Linked DNA regions of Arabidopsis thaliana. The protein of the gene in region 1 interacts with the protein of each later gene in a pairwise test. Each region holds a gene or a part of one and is shown in the gene's direction. Other genes may lie near its edges. The genes, in order: NAC032, AGL102, ZF3 and AT2G23060.

The links.
Region 2: the proteins of NAC032 (region 1) and AGL102 interact in a two-hybrid assay, tested with the Arabidopsis thaliana proteins (one large-scale study listed by BioGRID).
Region 3: the proteins of NAC032 (region 1) and ZF3 interact in a two-hybrid assay, tested with the Arabidopsis thaliana proteins (one large-scale study listed by BioGRID).
Region 4: the proteins of NAC032 (region 1) and AT2G23060 interact in a two-hybrid assay, tested with the Arabidopsis thaliana proteins (one large-scale study listed by BioGRID).

Annotation. Positions count from the first base shown.
Region 1 is NC_003070.9:29,096,816-29,103,133, forward strand, and holds NAC032 (NAC domain containing protein 32), read left to right. Parts: upstream 1-3,023; 5' UTR 3,024-3,213; coding exon 3,214-3,382; intron 3,383-3,484; coding exon 3,485-3,759; intron 3,760-3,848; coding exon 3,849-4,166; 3' UTR 4,167-4,944; downstream 4,945-6,318. Other genes in the region: PBC2 (20S proteasome beta subunit C2), read left to right, coding at 1-25, 144-233, 553-637, 995-1,089, 1,242-1,290. UniProt on the Arabidopsis thaliana protein: Transcriptional activator that positively regulates age-dependent senescence, dark-induced leaf senescence and stress-induced senescence.
Region 2 is NC_003070.9:17,569,446-17,574,573, forward strand, and holds AGL102 (AGAMOUS-like 102), read left to right. Parts: upstream 1-2,968; 5' UTR 2,969-3,005; coding exon 3,006-3,284; intron 3,285-3,438; coding exon 3,439-3,714; 3' UTR 3,715-3,928; downstream 3,929-5,128. Other genes in the region: PEX11A (peroxin 11A), read right to left, coding at 1-689.
Region 3 is NC_003076.8:17,329,236-17,334,143, reverse strand, and holds ZF3 (zinc-finger protein 3), read left to right. Parts: upstream 1-2,497; 5' UTR 2,498-2,512; coding exon 2,513-3,094; 3' UTR 3,095-3,199; downstream 3,200-4,908. Other genes in the region: QWRF9 (QWRF motif protein (DUF566)), read right to left, coding at 3,408-3,452, 3,530-3,637, 3,732-3,821, 3,903-4,019, 4,256-4,375, 4,564-4,869; AT5G43155 (QWRF motif protein), read right to left, coding at 4,904-4,908. UniProt on the Arabidopsis thaliana protein: Transcriptional repressor probably involved in abiotic stress responses. Binds DNA in a sequence-specific manner and can repress the transactivation activity of other transcription factors.
Region 4 is NC_003071.7:9,810,853-9,817,244, reverse strand, and holds AT2G23060 (Acyl-CoA N-acyltransferases (NAT) superfamily protein), read left to right. Parts: upstream 1-2,506; 5' UTR 2,507-2,611; coding exon 2,612-2,782; intron 2,783-3,239; coding exon 3,240-3,436; exon of another isoform or gene 3,437-3,532; coding exon 3,533-4,406; 3' UTR 4,407-4,463; downstream 4,464-6,392. Other genes in the region: NPY4 (Phototropic-responsive NPH3 family protein), read right to left, coding at 4,777-5,025, 5,097-6,161, 6,234-6,303.

The DNA of each region.
Region 1 (6,318 bases):
TATCGGCTATTCTTTATGAGAAAAGGTTGGTGAAATGTCTTCTTCTCTCAATTTGTTATTAGTTTCTAGTTTCCTCTTAACAATCTGATTTCTTATGATTAATGTGGCATTGCCACTACTAAGTACCAAATTCTTTATTTCAGATTTGGCCCATTCTTGTGCCAACCTGTGATTGCTGGATTGGGAGATGATAACAAACCCTTCATTTGCACTATGGATTCTATTGGAGCCAAGTATGCTCGCTTTCTTCATTACTTAAGACGTTATATCTCATTTTTCGTCTGTAATGCCATTTAATTTACTTAGTCAGTGACTGTAATCGTGAAACTTGCTAGGTCAGCTAGAAAATGATCGTGGATTGATATTTTGGTTTTAGTTGGAATCTAATTTTGGTCTTTTGTCATCCAATGCAGTGTATGCATGTCATATGAGTGAACTTATTTTACATGTGTTGAGCTGATTTAAATATGATTCTTAATATAGTTGAGATTTTACCGAACATGATAGTTGCAATGGTGAGCATGCCTTGACGCTTGTTCTCTCTAAATGCAGGGAGTTAGCTAAAGATTTTGTTGTCTCGGGAACTGCTTCAGAATCTCTATATGGTGCCTGTGAAGCCATGTTCAAACCAGATATGGTATGTGCCTTCTGAAAACTTGTTTTTGTACCGATTCACTGGATACTCAAATGTGTGTTTATCACCTGAAAATTTGGTAGGATCATTCATATGTAAGTATTCTATTGTAGAATCTTGATCTGGTAGGAATATTTGTGTGCATAGTGCTGGTGATATATGACGTAACTCCAATAATTTTCTCTGTATATTTTAATTTGGCTTAGGATTAAGATGTTTCAATATTGCGATTACTTCCCTGCCATAGTACTGCTTCGATAAAGTTTGAATTTCAAGGTCATCATTCTAAGAAGTGCATTGTAAACAGACTCGTGATGAAATGAAAAGCATATAACTAGACTTAACAAATTTGAGTTTCAGGAAGCTGAGGAACTATTCGAGACAATTTCACAAGCACTTCTCTCTTCAGTTGACCGCGATTGTCTTAGTGGGTGGGGAGGACATGTCTACGTTGTGTAAGTTTTGTTCTCCTCATCTTCTTCTTCTTCTTCTTCTTCTTTTTTTCTGTCACATCTGGCTTCTTACAGAATATACCTCATGTGCACTTATCTTCTAAGGATATGTATTATATAAGATAGTAACATTCTTTCATGGTCATGTTGTCCAGAACACCAAAGGAGGTGAAGGAGAGAATCCTGAAGGGAAGGATGGATTGATCTGATATCACATATCTGCTTTTGTCCAAGTTCGGTATACTCCTTAACCCGGTTATGTAGAAGCTCTCGTCCCATAGTAACTATGTTCCTTCTCTGAAACTGGATATTGTGGTTCGTTCTCTCGGATGTTTTATTTGCTATTGATAGAGTTCAATGAAAATGAAGAAATAGCAGTTGTTATCTTGTTCCAGTACTCGATCATTCTATGTACCTTGTTGTTTCTGTTTTAATTTCGTACCAAGTGTTCCAGATTTCTGGTTTGTCGCAGTCTTTAGTTTTCAAGGTTGGTACTGATCAGTGACACGTTTTGTTGTTTGTCTTCTTAGTGTTCATGTTCGATTCACTATGGGTGACTTTAGAAAGACGTTAACATGTCAACGAAATATTTTGGTCAACTATCAATAAACATGGTTTGGCTAACGAAATCATACAATAACTATGAAATCAATGTAATTTGGAAGGTGATCACTAGTAACTGCAAATAGAAACGAATCAAACTATTATGATGATGATCCTGATGCTGCCATCTGACATTGTGAATGATTTTGCATGTCCTGTTCTGTTTGTGGCGTTAGATCGAGCCAGAGAGGCAAAATCCATACGCATAAGCGTTTTGATGATTTCATATAAAACGTGGCATGTGCAATAGATGTGGTCGTTACACGAATATAAACCCAATCCTGCCGACCTAACTAATCTCGGTGGGTATTCATATACTACCTGTGTGGGCAAAGCATATAAAGGTTCTACTTGGGCAATCATTATCGATGCTCGTAAATTCATGCGTCTAATCATTTTGATTATGAACCATCCACATCATGTCACGTGTCTAAACTCTTCGGTCACTTTTGAGCTTTTTATCAAATTCAACCCGCCACAATAAAAAGCGGCAGAACTAACATTCCGGCTCCACGTGGCATAGATCGAAGCGTTTATCTATTAGGTGGCACAGGCGGCTCGAGATGACGTTCTTGTGGACTCCATTAGAGAAAATGACAGAATTAAGTGGGCATTAGCATAAGTTGATAACTATGAGGTGCTTTTTAAAAAGAAAACTAACAGCTGCGATTCTGTTTTTTTTTGCCGTTAGTGTACGCTAAATCATAGACCTCTTCGTGGTTATAAAGAAAGAAACTTAATTTGTCTCGAATTTGAGTTTGGATGCGACGTTTTACGTACTAGTTTTATAAAAGTAAATGTTATAGACCTTGAATTTCAAAGTGGAATGTATTTTACACACACAATTGATACACCAACAATTGTGGAAGCAAGGATATAGAGTATCGATCTTTAATGGAGAAGAATATATCCTTAAAGTAATCATTACTTTTTAATTACGGCGGAAAGAGAATAGTTAAATTTACGGCGAAAAGAATGTTCATTAATCAATTGATGACGTTCGTTTATAATTTCAAATAAGATCGAAAATAACAGGTGAACAAAGAAAAAATAGACATTAAAAATAGTAAGATCGAAAATACAACCCTTAAAAATCTCACGAAATCAATGAGAGAAACAATTTTGAGATACGGTCAACGTTTGGTCTCCTTTAGGAAAGTACACGCATAAGATCGAACGTGTCGATTCTTATTGCTCGTTCCCAAAATCGACATGCTCTCGGACCGCTACATTCCAAATAGTCTGACGTAAGCAATGACAAAACTCACCTACATTACAGTCTGCCACGTGTCCCTCTCCATCTACTTCAAATGAATCCTCCACTATACAGATTTAACCATTTTTCTATTTTTGTTTGAGATTCCTTTCCACCAACACAAAGCCCCTGTCTATCCGCCATGTGTCCACGACCTTTCTTATATATATAGTCATCTTTCTTCTTTGCTCGAGAGAAGTTTCAACTTTCAAACATATCTTTACAGTTCTTTCTTGCTAAACAACAATAAAGGGGAAAATAGGTTAATTATGATGAAATCTGGGGCTGATTTGCAATTTCCACCAGGATTTAGATTTCATCCTACGGATGAGGAGCTAGTCCTCATGTATCTCTGTCGTAAATGCGCGTCGCAGCCGATCCCTGCTCCGATTATCACCGAACTCGATTTGTACCGATATGATCCTTGGGACCTTCCCGGTACGTTTCTTTCTTTTCCCCTTTAAATCACACTATACACTAACAGTAACAGGATTCTATAAAATCGGTCTAAGAATTAATAAACCGGTTTACAATTTACAGACATGGCTTTGTACGGTGAAAAGGAGTGGTATTTTTTCTCACCAAGAGATCGAAAGTATCCAAACGGTTCAAGACCCAACCGTGCAGCTGGTACTGGATATTGGAAAGCTACCGGAGCTGATAAACCAATAGGTCGTCCTAAACCGGTTGGTATTAAGAAGGCTCTAGTGTTTTACTCGGGAAAACCTCCAAATGGAGAGAAAACCAATTGGATTATGCACGAATACCGGCTCGCTGACGTTGACCGGTCGGTTCGTAAGAAAAACAGTCTAAGAGTGAGTGAATTTATCAGTTCAAACCGAACTTTGAATATGATTTTGAATCGGTTTAGTTAACCGGACGTGTTTTTGATATTCTTGAACAGTTGGACGATTGGGTATTGTGTCGTATATATAACAAGAAAGGTGTCATCGAGAAGCGACGAAGCGATATCGAGGACGGGTTAAAGCCTGTGACTGACACGTGTCCACCGGAATCTGTGGCGAGATTGATCTCCGGCTCGGAGCAAGCGGTGTCACCGGAATTCACGTGTAGCAACGGTCGGTTGAGTAATGCCCTTGATTTTCCGTTTAATTACGTAGATGCCATCGCCGATAACGAGATTGTGTCACGGCTATTGGGCGGGAATCAGATGTGGTCGACGACGCTTGATCCACTTGTGGTTAGGCAGGGAACTTTCTGAGTTGTCACGTGCGATTAGAGTTAGTGGAAAGTGGAAACTATCACTGTCTGTTTTCGCACGTGTCGGGTAGCCGTCTTGAAACCCGCTAGCTGATCCAGAAGTGACCTCATTGGGCTTTTCAACAACAATTGGGCCTTAGCCTTTCTTCTCCCTTAGTAAGACAAGCTACTGTATTGTGTTGTTATTTTCAGGAAGCAATATAAATTCATTTTAATCACTTATATATTCTTTACATTTTTTTTTCACTCAAAACTACAATCTAGCTTCTTCTTTTTTTTTTTTTTTTTTTGTTATGGTTGTACTACAATCTAGCTTTGTTATATATATATATAAGTTAAAAATAGTAACTAAATTACAAACTAAAATAAAATAAAGAAATTGGAAGATATCACTAGTGTTTGGGGTATTAGGGAGGGAGGGGAGCTCGAGATCCGATTTTACTGACTGCATGGTATCGAAAAAGTGTCGGTAATGGTAGGGTCTGACAGATAACAGTCTTATCGTTGCAACTTGCATTCAAACAAATCTCATTGTTCGCTTTAATTTCTAATTAATTTGTTTTTGTCTTTTGTATATTTATTTGATTTTGACACGAGTTTGTCTTTCCTAATAAGACCGAGGCATGATTAGTTTAACCGGTTTGAATTGTTTAGGTTAAATCGGAGTCCAAGTCAAATACATCGCTATCTAACGAAAACGACGACTGAAATTTCGTAAAGTTCCTTACTATAAAACTGATCTAACTATCTTCTACAAGAACAATATAATAAATTTGATGCATTATGAATTCACAAGTTTTAAATCTTTATGATTTTGTAGCTCATGAAATTGAATGATGTTTCTTTTATTATCACATGTCATTAAATAAAAATAGTTATGAGTAGATGACATAAATACTATTTCAAATAAATTTATCCTCCATCTAATTGTTATGAGATGATTATTTCCTATAACATGGTATCTACTATATGGCCGTCTAAATTAAGTATCAACGTTTAAACTGCGCAATGCTCAAGTTTTCATAAGATGTGATTTGTTAGAGGTTAATTAAGAAACTTGCGAGTGTATATGTGGTCTCTAATCTATATTTTAATCTATAAAAAGGGAAGTGAAAATCAAGATTAAAAGCTTGGATGTCATAGTATAAAAGAATAGTAAAGTAAGGGGACCAGACATATTTGTTGCGAACTGGAAAAAAATGAAGACAGTCAATCTCACTGGGGAAGTGTGGGGTTTGAAGTCCATGTTAGGTCTGTTTGTTGTTGCTCTTACAACCTTCACTTTCAATTTACAACCAAATCTTCTTTACACTTTATACTAATTTATTATTCATGTTTCCAATAGCATTAAAACAGTTTTAAAATCTATCCAACTCTTTTTTTCCCCTACTAAATCAGGAAATTCAAATCATATGGACAATATACTCCATCAAACAGTGTAAATCTGTTATCCACAATGCATAATGTTGTGTTTAATTAACTCGCATTCGTCACAACCAAATTAGTGATTTCTCTCTAATTAACCAATGTATGTAGATGTGAATAATACTTATGTAATAGTCCAGTTTTCAACAAACATATCATAGTTTAACGAAATTGGACAGATTCGAGATCACAACTCGGTTAAGATAAAACTGTGAATAGAATATTTTTCTGCCTAGGTTATAACTTAAAACTATAATATTTTTGGGAGCATGTATTATGTGACTTGTGCGAGAATTCTGTGTATATATGGTTGACAAGATGGATGCTATTTTTGTAAATAGCTAGATGGCTACATACATATTCACTCATGTTTTATAACGTAGAGAATAATTAGTCCACCGCTCTATGCCCCATTTGGAATAAGGTTAATTGTTACAACATATATTTTGGTTAAATGGTTCCGAGTTAATAGACCAAATCATATAGTAGTAGTTTGGAAACAAGACATGGTCAAAACGCAAGATAATACATAGACACATAATTTCAGTTTAAAAGTTCTTAAAACTTTAAAGAACAAAACTTAGATGTAGTTTTAAATGTTAATTTACCTGGTTTTGGCATAACACAACCTAGGAGTTAGGAATGTTCCAACTTCCAATACTTTTACATTTATCAAAACATGCGTTAAATAGAGGGAAAAAATGAATCTTGAGGAACGTTTTATTTCT
Region 2 (5,128 bases), about 12 Mb from region 1:
GATATCACATTAGGAGCCGATAACACTCCCTTACCATCACGAATATCAGCAATCGTCATCAAACCATCAGCAAGATCCTGCAAAATAGATAAAACCTTCAATGTCTTCTTCTCCTTAATCATCTTCATCTTCTCATCTTCACCATCACAAGCTAATCCTCTCGAAACCGAGATCTCGATCGTCGAAGCAACACAACTCTCTTCATCATTCAATTTCCTCAAATCCCTAATCTTAATCGAAACACTTCCTACATAACCAACCAATTCAGCCCAAGCACTAATCTTCTGAAGCCATTTCGAATGTTTCGCATCGATCAGTCCTGATTTCGTTAACCATATGAATTGTTCAACGAAATAGTATAATCCTTCACCACCGTACGCGATTATGAGTAAGACGAGCTCGTGATTTGAATCCCATCGTGAGGATCTTAATGCGTTGATGTCTTGTACGAATTTTCCGAGACGGAAGGCTTTGCGACTGACTCCGACGCTTGATTCGAAGCTTTTGAGTCGGGGGATTATGGATCTGGTTTCTGGGATTAGTGATGATGCGAGGATGATTTTTGTTGCGTAACGAGAGATTTTCAGGAGTTTGTCTACACCATCTCTTTTGGAGAGATATGTTTCGAGATGATTTAGGAAATCTCTGTCTTTTGGTTTGGTGATTTTCTCTGGAGCTTTCGTAGCCATTGGAGGAGATGGAGCTTTTTCAATTGTTGTTCTTCACGGACGCGAAGATGAAGAAGAAGGAGAATTGAAGATAACCGGAATCGAGTTTGATTAATTGGTTTGCGTGCCATTCCCGAATTGTCCGGTTTAATTAATGCGGCCGTGGAAAATGTATAAAATTGGTTTGATCTATTTTTCGCAAACAGCTTGAGAAGAAAGTTGGACTTTATTGATCTAGATACGAAAAAGGTCAATACATTGGCTGCATAGGGACCTTATTATTATATCTTCCTTTGACCTACTAGGGTCGACTCAAAAATGAAGGTGGACTGATCGGTCCCAAGTATATATAGACCTATCGGTCTCTGATTGTCTGGATCAGTTTCCACACCAGTTTCATCTGATTGACATGTCTTAAGTAGATTGGCCATAACGTCTTATTTCACTGTTAGATTTTCTTCAAATCACTTGGAAATAAAAGCAAAGATCATCACCTAGCTTGTATCACAATATGAGGAAGATATAACGGTGGAAAATCTTCCACATGACGCGAAACTCCAAACCCTTATACATGATCTCACATCTCCAAATGCGTGTTTGCATCCCAAAATGTTTTTTCCTCCATATCAATCTAAAACCTGTAAAGGATTAAAGAAAATCTTGAAACGCACTTTAACTCAATAAAAGACATGTTATCGGCTACATGTAAGGTTGTCATAATGCTCATGTTGTTCATCTCCAAAACGAGTTTGATAATGCATGATTTCGGTTAGACTATTCCCTTTACAATGCATGAATTTTCGATGATTTTTGAAGCCTTAGTCCATTGGTCTCGGATCGCCATGTCATTTGTCGTAGATTGCTAACTGATGTTGCCGGTAAAGTATTTTTGAATATATCCTCTAACGTTTCGTTGTCGAGTTGATTAATGTAGATATTTTTCATGGGTCTTCGGCTGAAAAACAGCTCAGTACGGAAAGTTGGTGCTCCAGCTAAAATTCCATGGAGTTAAATAGGGTCTCTAGATTTGCACTGAACTTGTTTTAGGGTTTTCGATTGCATGGTCGAATCACAGATCCATCCAACACCTCTGGTGTATCGGGTGAGGAATCTTCTAGTTGGATGTGGGTCCATCCAACACATCTTGTGCATCACATGAGGAATCTTCTAATTCGATATCCACATCAATTTATTTGACCTTTTGTAACACCCTGGTTTCACAAAATATGGTGGTGCATGCAGAGAAGTTTTAAAAATTTGATTTGACCACCTATATCATCAAATTGCACTTATTTTCAGTCAAACATCTGAAAAGAACTTCATAATTAAGCGTGCTTAAGTTAGAAAAATTACAGGGAATGACCTTCCAAGAAGTGATTGTCGCAACTGTATATGAGCGAGGATAAAACACGAGAAAATATAATGTGGTGATATGTAGGATCGGTAAACAAGCCTTTAAAGCCTCGTAAACGTAATGGATCGGCTATCGGGTAAGAGTGAGCCCGTGAGCCGAGAGAGGACGTGGGGTCACTAAGAAAGATGGAGGTCGGGGAGTTACAAACGGTATCAGAGCCAAACCCAGACGAATGTGGAGTTAAGAGGGTTAACAAAGTCGATTGTGACGGTCTTGATGCGCAACCAGGACGATACGATCTGCTAGAGGGATGAATTGTAACACTTTAGTTTCATGAAATATGGTGATGCATGTAGAAATGTTTAAAAGAATTGATTTTGACACCTATGTCTTTTGATGGGTGAATTTAGGAGAAGTGATTATTGTCGGATCCGTGTGAGTGAAAACAAAACATGAAATAATAAAATAAAAAACTCCTTTTAATTTAGAAAAAGTTGTTACCAAGTTTCATCAGTTTTTTATTTTCATTTTATTGATATGTCGTGGCTAGTGCGCATGTTTGACGCGTGTGAGTTTGCATTTTAAAATAAAATTTGTATATATGGAATGATATGTAGAGATACTAAATCTAATTTATAATTATTACAAAATTTGTATTTTTCCTAAATATTTTCTAATGAAAGATAAGCATTACAAAATTTATACTTTCTTCAGAAAATATATCTTAAGAATTTGTTTGGAATACCAACTCTTGACTATTATGATAAATTTGTGTAGTCAGAGTTATAAAGATATTTATGGTAGTAGTTAAAAGATAAATATATTTAAAAGGTAAATTCAAATATTTTAATAAAAAAAGGATAACAAAGATAAAAAATTATAATTAATGCGTTAAACCTACTTGAACCAATCCATCTATAAAATGGAGTAGAGTAGTAACAAAAACAACACCAACAACAAAAACATCTCTCTAAAACTAAGAAATGGGTCGTAGAAAAATAGAGATAAAATTTATTGAAGATAGCATCGAAAGGAAAGCGACGTTTTCAAGACGCCGAAATGGCATTTTTAAGAAGGCTGATGAACTCGCGAAGTTGTGTAATGTAGAGATTGCTGTCTTGGTCATCTCCCCCACTAATATACCATACACATACGGTTATCCATGCTTCAACGATGTGGTTGAGCGTATTCAAAATCCTAGTGCTTCGTCCAAACTCAGGAGTCTCATGAAAGAATTGGAACAAATCAAAGAGTTTCAGGAGGTATGTTTCCCATCATTAATATAATCTCATCCGTTAGTTTTCCTTCTTCTTCGTTCTCAACATATAGATTACAAAGATGGGTTTGCTATTATACACAGAATTAAATAATCATTATTTATTTTATATTATATAATATTTTTTTTGTCAATTTTAGGATTTGAGGAAGAAACAGCAAAGAAACCTTGAAAAGTCCAATATGAAAGAGAATGTAGATCTGAAATTGGAGGACTTAGTTGCTTTCAAGGCGAAACTCGAGGCCTATCAAGCAGGTTTAAAGAGGAAACATGTAGAGATGGAGGATTTGTCTTCTCCATCGATACTCTCAAAGAATACAAAGAATAAGATGATGAGGACCGAGTATTCGTCTGGACAGAGCAAAGGAATGTATGAGTTTCGGGCTTTCGGCCCAGGATTTCTTGGAACTATTTAGAACAATCGTCAAAATAAATATAAATATATAATTATTTATATCATATAAATCAATTACCGTTTATTTTTCTTTCCAAAAGTTTAAGGAATAAATTTTGGTTGCTTTAGTTTGAAGGAAGTTGTGTCCTCCATCTTGTTATCTTTTCAATCGGATTTTCGTAATGAAATGTTTTTTATATATAAATAATATACAATATATGTGATAATTTTGGAAAATATGTCAAAAAAATGTGAACTTTCAAATTTAGAACAAAAAAACATGAATTTTCGAAATGTCACTTAAATACCAAAGTTATTGTTGACTTTAGAATTAAATAGATAACTTTCGTTGATTTTGCCATTTCGGGTAAAACGTTACGTCAACTGACGAAAAAAATAACAGAATTAAGTCTTTTTTTTGTCATAAGATATTATTTAAGACTTAAACGAGCCAAAATTACGGGAAATTAACAGAATTAAGTCTTCGGTTATAAATTCTGTTAACTTATAAAACAACGTCGTTTCAATTTCTTTTTTTTTTTACAAGTTGAGGAATTGAACCCGCAACCTGTGAGATATAACAACTTTCCTTTACCGACTTAGCTCGCAGTTATTTATATGTTCTCAGAAACATACATATTTCTATAGGTTATAACAAAATGCCCAAATTAATAAAAATTTAGGGTTTCGATCCCCTTTTTCACAGTCTTCCCAATTTTAAAAGTTCTTTCCAAGAGGGAAGTCGATTGATGACGTATCCTCCGAAAATGATGAGTAAATCTAGAGAAAGCTTGATCAGAAGATGAGAAGATGGTGGATTCTTTAAAATCGTCGAGGTTTAGATCTTGATTCGCGATCTTTAGAGTGAGCCCCATAGAGATGTAGCCCGAATCGGAAGTTGATGCCATTGATGCGTTTATCGAGCTTTTGTTTAACCTATATAATTATCTATGTTAAGCAGTATGATGTTTTTAAACTAAGAACTTACTTCTAAGAAGCAAGAGAGAGGAGAGACTTTAGAATTTAGAGTGTTTTGTCTTTGAGAGCTTGAGAAATAATGAGAGGCTGGGTCTCTTTATATAGTAGAGGAAAATAGGATTTTGTGAGAATATTCTCAGGATATGCATGACATATTTTGAGACTATCCTAAGAATATTTTGAGACTATTCTGAGAATATTTCCATAAGATTCAACTCAGCAAGCCCAATAACTCACAAGCATGACGGTCCGCAAGCCCGACAGCCCTTGAGTCGACGATGGGACGTCCCGACAACCCGCAGCCCGGCTCATCCTAGTTCGGTTCGGTTCGATCAGGTTTGGCCCAAGTGTCCCACTTTACACCCTTATTTCTTATTCAATACAACTCCGTTTTTGACGTATGAGTATACCATTTTGTAGTACTCTTTACCCGCTTTCCAATGCACTAATGTCCCGAT
Region 3 (4,908 bases), on another chromosome or scaffold:
AATCAGGGTTTTAAAATCTCATTGTATCTTGAACAAGTCTTAATGTTCTTAACCTACCATGCTCAACTACGATTAGTCAACTTGTGGGGTCGGTAAAAGCCAAGTTTAGACAGAGTCAAAGAGGTTATGCCACTCCATTGCATGACGAGTACATTAATGTTAGTATATTCTATATATATATAGAAGGATTCATGTTTTTCAATGAATGTTAAACATTTTAATGTACACACAATCACAAATAGAGTAAAGAAAGAATATATGGGGCGCCCCCAATGCACGTTATGTACAAAAATGTCCTGTGACAATGAACTTGTTTTGTTAGTTTTCTAACGTTTGGGAAAATAAATAGTCAATGAAATACTATAATCCAGATGTGAATAATTTCTCTTTTTCCGCAAAACATGGATGATCTTACGTTGGGGTTCGGAGTGTCGATCCATCCAATAAGAAAAAAATTCACGATTCGCTTAAACTAATTAAACTGTAGACATGTAGATATTATCGTTAATGTCCGAGTGTCGGATCACATAGCGAGTCCAAAAAAAGTGAATTCACAACCCAACATTTTTACTAACTAATTTTTTAAAAAAATATTCTAACTACAAATCGAATCTAATTAACCCAATAAGAATTGAATACGTAATTAAAGATGATGATAAACAATATAGACGAGCTACTTTTTAGTCTAAACAACAATTTACTCGTGACTAGAATATGTATCTGCATGCTAATGTGGTCGTTGTCTAATTAGCTTGATTCAAATTCCTATAATACATATTGTTAAAAGATAATGAACAAAGTAATAGTAGAAGACCAAAGGACGGCACGGAATAATTTGAGATTCCGACAAGATCAGATTCACACTCGTTTGCTTGTCTTAAGATCACCCTTACAGAGACAGATAAAATTTAATAAGTCAAAAGTCATTGTCCATAATAAAAACAAAGAAACACAGCTCGGAAATGTATTCTTGTCTCTAAGTTTGAGTTAAGGTACAATGCATTAATCTCACCGATTAGCTATTCATTGGTTGTTAGATCTATTTTTTCAACATCCCGTTACTAGATTAATTATAAAGTTTTTTCTTTCTAAAGATTACACACAAGTTTATACTAGATGTTGTTAAGCTATTGATGATTCAACCATGCATAATCTGTTACCGACGATTCTCCCATTGCAACATAACCCAAAAGGTCCCCCTTCCGCTTGTGAAAGGAAAAACTAAAGGTTTAGAGATATATGCACACATTATATTCGTGAAAGCACATGCATGACCCATATGTTTTTCAAGAGTTTACGAAGGTCATCGTTGCTCAGGCCACCAAACTTTGCTGGTATATCTGCTTCGGTAGCTTGTCTTAAACTCGTTAGTTGCAGCAAGCCTAAGAATCATTACACTTCATTAGGCTTTTCGTTTTTAGGCATCTAACATGATGTGTCTTTTAGATCTCGTAATGTGAGAAAAGAGAGAGAGATAGGTTACTCTTAGAGAATTAGGTTAATTAATTGTTGGAAATTATTTTTTAGTTAGCATAAAGACCTAATTATATAAGTAATTATACAATCTATATTATAACGTAAATAGCTAGTAAAAATGATACAACTTAGATTCTAACCTAAACGTGAAAAAAGCACCCATAATCCTAACTTTAAAAGAAAAGTCCCAAAACCTTATACTAAAGAGAAGACCATTAAACCAAAACTCTTATACCGTATCATGACACAAGTTGTTGAATCCAATTTAGTGTAACTTCAACTCTAGACATTCACGCATTTGAATTAAAACCAATAAAGAAAATTTCATGATTCTTGGTTGCAATGGGCTGTGGGAATTAAGTTATAAGCTCTTTGTTTCTTGTTGTCATGAGTTCTCTACCGAAACATCCAATCATCTTTTATATTCAAGGTTTCCTCATTATAATCTTAATCTACACACATTGCCTCCGTTTTCAAATGTTTGGACCAAGTAATGAATGCTATTGGGTTTGTTCAGAAATTCCCAAAGGTACAACAAACCTACACTTAAATAAATAACTACATATATAAGCAAAGTGTTAAAACATAAATGAAAAGCTAGATGAATATTAATTGTAAAATACGGCCTAAGTTTAGAGACAAGGTTTTTATTAGTTTTAAAGAATCAATCATTATTGTGTGTAGTTGGATTCAAATGTCAACTCTCAACTAGTCAGAAGAAGAGTATATAGCCCGACTTGTGTAACATTTCTCTCCCCCACAAAACGTGCCAAAATTAATATATTCCACTCTCACCAAATGTTGAAATAATATTTTAATTATACATTCACTTTCGTTACAACTTACAACAAACAACTTGCTCAGCACATATTTCGTTTCAACTAAATACTTAAAATAATTAGAATGGCCAATTTGGCCACCCACTCTCACTCTTCTTTCTCACGCAACTTCCTCTCTTCTCAAGATTCTTCTCCATACTTCACCTTCTTCTATATATCTCTCTGCTCTCAAATTAGGTTTTAAATTTTCTATAGCAATGGCGCTTGAAGCTCTTAATTCACCAAGATTGGTCGAGGATCCCTTAAGATTCAATGGCGTTGAGCAGTGGACCAAATGTAAGAAACGATCCAAACGTTCGAGATCTGATCTTCATCATAACCACCGTCTCACTGAGGAAGAGTATCTAGCTTTCTGTCTCATGCTTCTTGCTCGGGATGGCGGCGATCTTGACTCTGTGACGGTTGCGGAGAAGCCGAGTTATAAGTGTGGCGTTTGTTACAAGACGTTTTCGTCTTACCAAGCTCTCGGCGGTCATAAAGCGAGCCACCGGAGCTTATACGGTGGTGGAGAGAATGATAAATCGACACCATCCACCGCCGTGAAATCTCACGTTTGTTCGGTTTGCGGGAAATCTTTCGCCACCGGTCAAGCTCTCGGCGGCCACAAGCGGTGCCACTACGATGGTGGCGTTTCGAACTCGGAAGGTGTGGGGTCTACTAGCCACGTCAGCAGTAGTAGCCACCGTGGATTTGACCTTAATATTATACCGGTGCAGGGATTTTCGCCGGACGACGAAGTGATGAGTCCGATGGCGACTAAGAAGCCTCGCCTGAAGTAAGTCTTTGTTGAAGACCTGGAAGTTTATCAAATGTAAATATCAAATTTCAATTTCAAGGAACAGTTTTGTTGATTCTATTACCAATACACAATACGATTCAATTCCTTTGTTTCTGAAGTAACAGCATACTAAATTCATTAGAAAACCGAATCGAAAATATTTACAACTGACTTTTGTTTGGTTGTTAAACTATCAAGTGAATTTGGCCTCTCTATTTGAATTAGATGATCTCCTTACATTCTCATAACTCCAAAATTGCCGATAATGAGTAGCTTTCTTACTTACACTCTGTTTTGTTAACTTTGCCACCTTACTATTGTAGCTGTGTAACCTGTGTCCTCAAACTGCATTCTGTTACCTGCATAGTTTAGAGATTAATCCCCAACACTGTAGGTATAGTGCAGACAAATCTATAATGAATTTGAGATATTGTACCTGCAGAGCTGAGATTGTGTTTAGAAGGTCCCGGCACACGTCGAGCATCCCTTCGTCCTTGGCATTCACACGGCCAAGTTCTGCTGCCAAGCTACTTATTTTCCCAACCTGGGATATTGGCTTTCACTTTGAAGATACAATATGAATAAAACGCAATAGAAGATTGTGCCATAAACATTATCCGAGAGAAAAGAAGAGTCACCTTTGGCAGCAACAAGCATATGGAAGATGCCATTGCTTGCATAACATCAACTGCTGAACAAATGGCATCCTTAACACTTTGTACATTTACCTGCGATAACATGATCATCAGCAAGGATCACATGCTTTCCCAACACATAACTAAAAAATAATTTGAGTAGAATAGCCAAACCATTGCCCCGCAATCAACAGGTAGACAAAGGGTGCTGCCTTTCAAAGCTTCAGCAGCTCCTACCAAAGAACCCATATAATTCCGATCAATAACCAACCACTCTTCTAGATGTCCCATCTATACATAGGCATGAAAAACATTTAAGTTTCTGGCTAAGTAAAATTCAATTAGATGAAGCTTTTAGGAGGTCCCAATGCTGTAATAAGCAGAGCATACAAAGGAACCGAAATAGAGATATAAAAGAAAGAACAGAAAAGGGAAGAACAGAAGACTGAGAGTAACTTATATAGTGTTACTAAAAGAGCACAGGGGCTAAAGGCAGTTCAATAAATAACAAAAGCGGATTAACTTACCTGCATATTGAGGATAGATATCAGTTTCAAATTCTGCTTCAGGTGCTGCATTTCAATTCTTTTCATGCTGACAGAATTATACAGATTAGAGATACTTCTCCATGCATTGTACAGTCTTCTCTGCAATGAAAAATATAATCACTTGGACAGAGACAAGCCTGTACTAACATAAATAAATTCGAATTTTCAACACAACACAGATGTACGTACGAGATTGTTTTGACTGAAACTGACAGATTTCTACAACCAATAGCTGTTGTGCTATCAATAATCAAGATTCTAAAGCATTCAGGAAGAAAAGGTCTAACCTCCTCTCTCATCTTTTGTGAAGAGATAACAGCATTTGCTCGTGCATTAGCAAATTGCCATTGCAGCAACCTACTGTGTAATAGCCTTAACAAGTGAGCATCAGCAACCCCATTATCTCTGATCTTCTCTTTACCATCCACAGCAAAATGCGGAATCAAAGGCGTGTTTTTACTCAGTGAGCTTCTCACTCTTAGTGGACTCATTCTATCTGAAGGACTAACCCCTCTTGGAGGAACAACCTCTCTCGAAGGGCTTAAACCTCTAGCAATGCTAGTTCCTCTCGGACTTGACAAAGCTGCATTCATACCAAATTTACTAGGTGAAGCAGGTCGAATCTGCTCACT
Region 4 (6,392 bases), on another chromosome or scaffold:
ATCTGAAACTACGCACCGTTATATTTGCCTTAGATTAGTGCCTTTCTTCGTCTCTCTTTTTAGTTTATTCTGAATCCTATGACGTAAGCGCTTTTGTCATGTACATCATTGACTATAGATGACACATCATATTCAAATTGAGATGGTTGTATTTTACAAAGGAAAAATCTACATTTTGATCTGAATTATTAGTTTAGTGTCAATTTTTATAAATAACTTAATACTACTCACCTCATCAAAGAATAATTCCAAATGGAAATAACTAAGAAAATATTTGGTACAACTATATAATAACAAAAGTTCACGACAATCCTGTGTTTATGAAAACCCCATTTTTCCATTTGAATGCCTCTCAAGTCTTGCTTGGTTCGACATTTTGCGTTTTTGAGTAATATAAATATATCTTTATGTTAGATAGAGATGGTCGATATTCAGATATTGTTTTAAATTTCTATACGAAATGGGAATAACGATCATATATTCACAGTAACTAATATGTGATGGATATTAGGATATACGTAAATTGGTAGTATCTTATTATTTTGAAAGGGTGGGAATCTACGATTAGACAATCCTGTGGGAGAAAAAAAATGCTTGATCCCATGAATAGACAGATTAAATATAATCGAATCCAAATTATTTATGTCTATAAGCATCTAGATGATATACACATCAATTGACTAATTAAGGCGACATACTTATTTTGAAATTTGACGGAATAATTAGGTTCTTTAGTAACACACTTGCTAATTTTATTGAACTTTTAGAAGAGTTTGATTAAAAAGTCTTAAGATTGTTATGGAAACAAATGGGGGCCATGCCAATTGCCAAACGCACTTTCATACGATATATTCATTTATTCGATTTTGTTTTGCTAATAATTCTCGATTACAATTCCATCATTCTGATCCGATTTCATTAGGTGAATATTACCAAGCGATTTTTAAAAAATGATTAATTGTGTGATTGGAGTAGCCTAACTTTATAAAAGGGGAATTTTTCAACTAGTTAATGAGTCGAACATATCAATTGTTTTATATTGCCAACTATAATGTTGTCGTGATACATATCCTTTATTCAAGTCATGAAGTTTTTCTTGTCCCTTTCTTTTTTATGTAACCTTTCCTGTCCGTTTCAAAACATGAAAATTCAAGGAGACGCAAATTCGAGTATATTATATATACATGGTCATGTTTTTCTTACTAACGTAAGAAAAAGTAAAAGATATTAATACACAAATAAATCAATGATACTATTTTGTTTCTACTACTTTTAACCACTTTTAAGATTGATGATAAGAGTAAGACTAGTGTCTAGTGATATACGATTACATTTTACTGCAACGATTTACATATATGTAGTGTTTAATAAGCAGCCAATGACTCGTTTTACAAATTATTGTTGTTAGTTAAATGTTTAATTATTTTTTGTCAACACAAAAATGTTAACTTTCGTATAATGATAAGTAGTATAAATACAAAACGATTCTGTTTCATATTTCTTCTTTTGGGGGTTGAGTTTTTGCATCTCCTTTCGTATTCATATATGTATTTTATTAACATAACGGCTCATTTATGATGCCGTGTCAATAACTAGGCCTATCAATAACAATGACTTAGAGCAAATGATTAGAGGTAAGGTAAGAGTAACAATTATACATACGTTCATGCAAAAACGGATAATTATGAACAAATAAAATTAACAAAGAGAAAATGAAAAGAGAGTGAGAGAAACCATAAGCCGCCATTTCCACTTCTCACTCACACTTTCCACGTCTCTTTTCTGAGCAAGTTCCATATCAATGCTCGTCTTAATCACCCATTAATATTCTCACTTCATAGCATCGACAAATAATTATTTTTCTATTTCATTTAAAATTATTCTAATTCCATATTGAGTTGTTCTCTGATATCTTTGTATAAAATTCCTAACTAAACAATTGTTTAAAGAACAAAAATAATCATTTTATTAAACGGGGAAAATAAGTAAGAATAATTAACTCAGCCCTCCACTATTAGATTATTGTATTGATACTACTAATCTGATCATTCCAAATTCTTTTTTCCTCTGTGCATGATCTCATGAAATCAATTCCCTCTAGATTCGTTCATTTGTTTACTGAAAAATTCACTATATAAAATAAAACAGTATATTCCAAAAAATGAACATTGCGAAAAATGAGCATAATTAATAGGGAATTAATATTGGGTCCTATTAACTCTCTCCAATGATAGAACTATTTAATTTGTTATTCATAACTAAAATGGCAGCCGAAAATAATACCAAGAGTCATTTTCAAAACCTTTTAAAAATCTTATTATTTGTATTTTTAAAAAATCTTAGCTCGTATAGCTTAAACATTAGATTCACATCATAGCTTCTGTGTTCTTTGCTTATACCTCACGTTATATTTATATTAAAAAAAAAATCCTATGTCCTCGGAAAATCTGCTGACTTCTTATTGCAACAGTCTCACTTCTTTTCCTCTATATAAAACCCTAAGCTACTACTTCACACTTTATTCTCATTTCTCCATATCTCTCTCTCTCTCTCTTTCGCTCTCTCAATCTCCTCTGTTTTTAGTTATTAGAGGAATTAGAAAACAGAGAATATGACGGTGCTTGTGGAGGTTAGAGAATACGACCCAAGTAAAGACTTAGCCACTGTAGAAGATGTTGAACGGCGGTGCGAAGTTGGCCCAGCCGGAAAACTTTCTCTCTTCACCGATCTCTTAGGTGACCCTATTTGCCGTGTCCGACATTCACCTTCTTACCTCATGCTGGTAAATTACTCATAACACCTAAATCTTAAAATATATAAAAAAATACAGTTTTCTAAATTTAAGTTGTTAACCAAAATATATTTTATCACTAATTAGTGAGAAATCTTATTTCTTTTCATAATGACGAAGCAAATATACGAATTATTAACTTACAAAAAAAAGATTGTGTTTGTTTATCAAAATAAAAAATGGTTTGTTTTGTTTTGTTTTATAGTTAATTAATTAAAAAATGATAAGTGAAACGACATTCACCTTCTTGCCTCATGCTGGTTACAACTCAAACCGAAGATATTAAAAACCCGTTTCTTTATATAAAGAGCAATTACATGAACTAACTAACCCAAAAGCTTTATTATTATTATTATTATTATTATTATTATTAATATTTTATTGTTATTATTATTGTTAACTATTAAATAAAAAGAAGGTTTTAACTTAAAATTGGAATTTGTAATAGGTGGCTGAGATTGGTCCGAAAGAGAAGAAAGAGTTAGTTGGAATGATTCGGGGATGTATCAAAACCGTTACATGTGGTATCACCACCAAAAGACTTGATTTAACTCATAACAAATCCCAAAACGATGTCGTTATTACCAAACCACTTTACACTAAACTCGCTTACATTTTGGGTCTCCGCGTTTCTCCTACACACCGGTACGTTTTAATTAAATCTCACGCATTTAACGCTAAACCAATCACGAGTAATTAACGCTTAAACTAATCACGTTTTTTTTTAATTAATTACTTCAGGAGACAAGGGATAGGGTTTAAGCTCGTGAAGGCTATGGAAGATTGGTTTAGTCAAAACGGGGCTGAATATTCCTATTTTGCAACTGAAAACGACAATCACGCTTCCGTCAATCTTTTCACCGGAAAATGTGGTTACGCCGAGTTTCGTACACCGTCTATTTTGGTTAACCCGGTTTACGCACACCGGGTCAACATTTCTCGTCGGGTTACCGTAATTAAGCTTGAACCGTCTGATGCTGAGTTACTATACCGGCTTCGGTTTAGCACAACCGAGTTTTTCCCTCGCGACATTGACTCTGTTTTGAATAACAAACTCTCGTTAGGAACATTCGTCGCGGTTCCACGTGGCAGTTGTTACGGATCCGGGTCTAGGTCATGGCCCGGTTCGGCTAAGTTCTTGGAGTATCCACCGGACTCGTGGGCGGTTTTAAGCGTGTGGAATTGTAAAGACTCGTTTAGATTAGAAGTTCGCGGCGCGTCGAGATTGAGGCGCGTGGTTTCAAAAGCGACGCGCATGGTTGATAAAACTCTACCGTTTTTGAAAATACCGTCGATCCCGGCGGTTTTCCGGCCGTTTGGGCTGCATTTTATGTACGGAATCGGCGGAGAAGGACCACGCGCGGAGAAAATGGTGAAGGCATTGTGTGACCATGCACATAATTTGGCAAAGGAAGGAGGATGCGGCGTGGTGGCGGCAGAAGTCGCCGGCGAAGAGCCGCTCCGGCGAGGGATACCGCATTGGAAAGTGCTATCGTGCGCTGAGGATTTGTGGTGTATTAAACGGCTTGGAGAAGATTATAGTGATGGTTCTGTTGGTGATTGGACTAAATCGCCACCTGGCGATTCTATTTTTGTTGACCCTAGAGAATTTTAGTTTTATAACTCAAAATGACATAATTAATTTATATTTAAGGAAAGGAATATTATTCAACTTTCTCTATCAGATTTTTTTTATTTTTCTTATTTCCAAATTTTTCCATTATTGTTTGACTACAAGTTTGTGATTTTATTTCCCAAATTAGTGAAATTACCATCATCAACGAGACAAATGAATGCAAAATTTGCTCTGATTTTTATTCTCATTTAAAATTCGAGATGAGAAAGGCTTCAAGCCGAACACAAAGCCCATTAAAACTTGGCCCAATTACAAAGGTCAAGCACCAAATGTTTTCTAATTTAGGAAAATGAAAACTACCAGTAAAACTCAAAGATGGTGTTGAAGAAACAAAATAAGAAAGATTCAATCAAAACTCTTTCTCATGGTCCCATTCATCATCCTCAGTGTTTAGAGTAGTAGTGGTAAGCTCAGGAGTGCTATATCCTGTTGATGAACCATTGGCTCTAATCTGTTCAAAGAAGAGAACTTGCACAATCACCCGCATTGGCAAACGTTCGTTCTGTACCGCATGTTCACACGCTTCCGCGGATAGTTTCCTACAATCCATTAGCCCGCATACTCTCTTCTTCTCGCTCTTGCTAATCCCCGAATGTTCCTGAAAATTTTCCAAATTATTAACAAATCAAGAAACGTTATGAAAAACAGAGGATTTGAATCTTGTTTTACCTTTAGAAACATGTCAATTGCGCGATATAACACGTCGTGAGAGTGTCTTGGGAAGCTAGAGAGTGTCTCAGCGAGAGAGAGGAAGTTCTGAAGAGGGAGATTAGGATCTCTTGATTTCTCAGCTAAGTATCCATCAATGAGCTTTGCCACGGATACTTTCGAGTGAGTTTTCGGATCACGGTTCATAAACTCCTTCACTAGGCTCTGCACCATATCCAAATCATACATTAAGATATCATTCACTGTTGTCTCTTCAAGCTGCTCGCTGACTCTTTTCTTTAACTTTTCTTTCACGGTTTCTTCACATCCAAGAAAGATCGATGCTCGATGTAGCTTGGTCAAGAAGCTAGAGGAAATGTTTCCTTTCTCATCCGGGAGAAGCTCTATGATTGTATTAATCAAAGATCTATCAATGAGTTGCATGGACTCTTTGCTAAAACCAGCTATTCTTCTTATTGCATAAGCATGTAATGCTTCTCCAATAACGTTACTCGGGACTTTACCTCGGTTCTTGATTGCTTTGATGGCTTGTTTATACAAATCGATGTGAAGCTCGCATAAATCTTCCACCCACCAGTCTTTTGGAACACCATCTTCTGGTTTTCTCACTTTCTCAAGCTTCTTCTTCCTGTTGTAAGTATAAGACCATTTGACTTTCGAGGTGTCTATCGAAGCAGTAGAAGCAATAGAGCCGAGACAACGCTTCACGAGCTCCTCTGAGTCATCAGACAAGAGATCTTTTGTGGTCTGAAGAACAATGATAGAATCTTTCCAACTACGGAAGATGGTTGAGTTCAAGAAAACATCAATCTTGTAAACGAGATTGCTTTTCTCAAACGTTTCATTCATCTCCAAGAACTCAGCCGCGCAACGAACCGCAACCACATTGTAAGCGTTTAAAGTAACCGTGATGCCGTAACAGAACTTGACACAAATCTCAAAAGCAACAGAACCACCAGGAATCTCTGATATGTCAATCTCATCAATTTGGTTCTTCTTCTCCTCTTCATTTTTTGATGTTGCTATGTGTTTCTGCAAGAATCCGCTTTTCGACAGCAATGGGAACTGAAAAACACACAAAAACATAAAAACTTTGCTTCTTCTTTGATGTTTTAAAAGCTAGAGTTTGTTTCATACCTTATGCAGATAGAACTTGACATTGCCGATGATGATGATGATCTCTGTTTCTAACTCATTTGTTACATACCTAAGAGCCAATAAAAATAATATCAGTTTTAGAAAAAACATTGCTTAAGCATAATCAGAGAAATACATAGAGGTAAATATTTGTTTTCT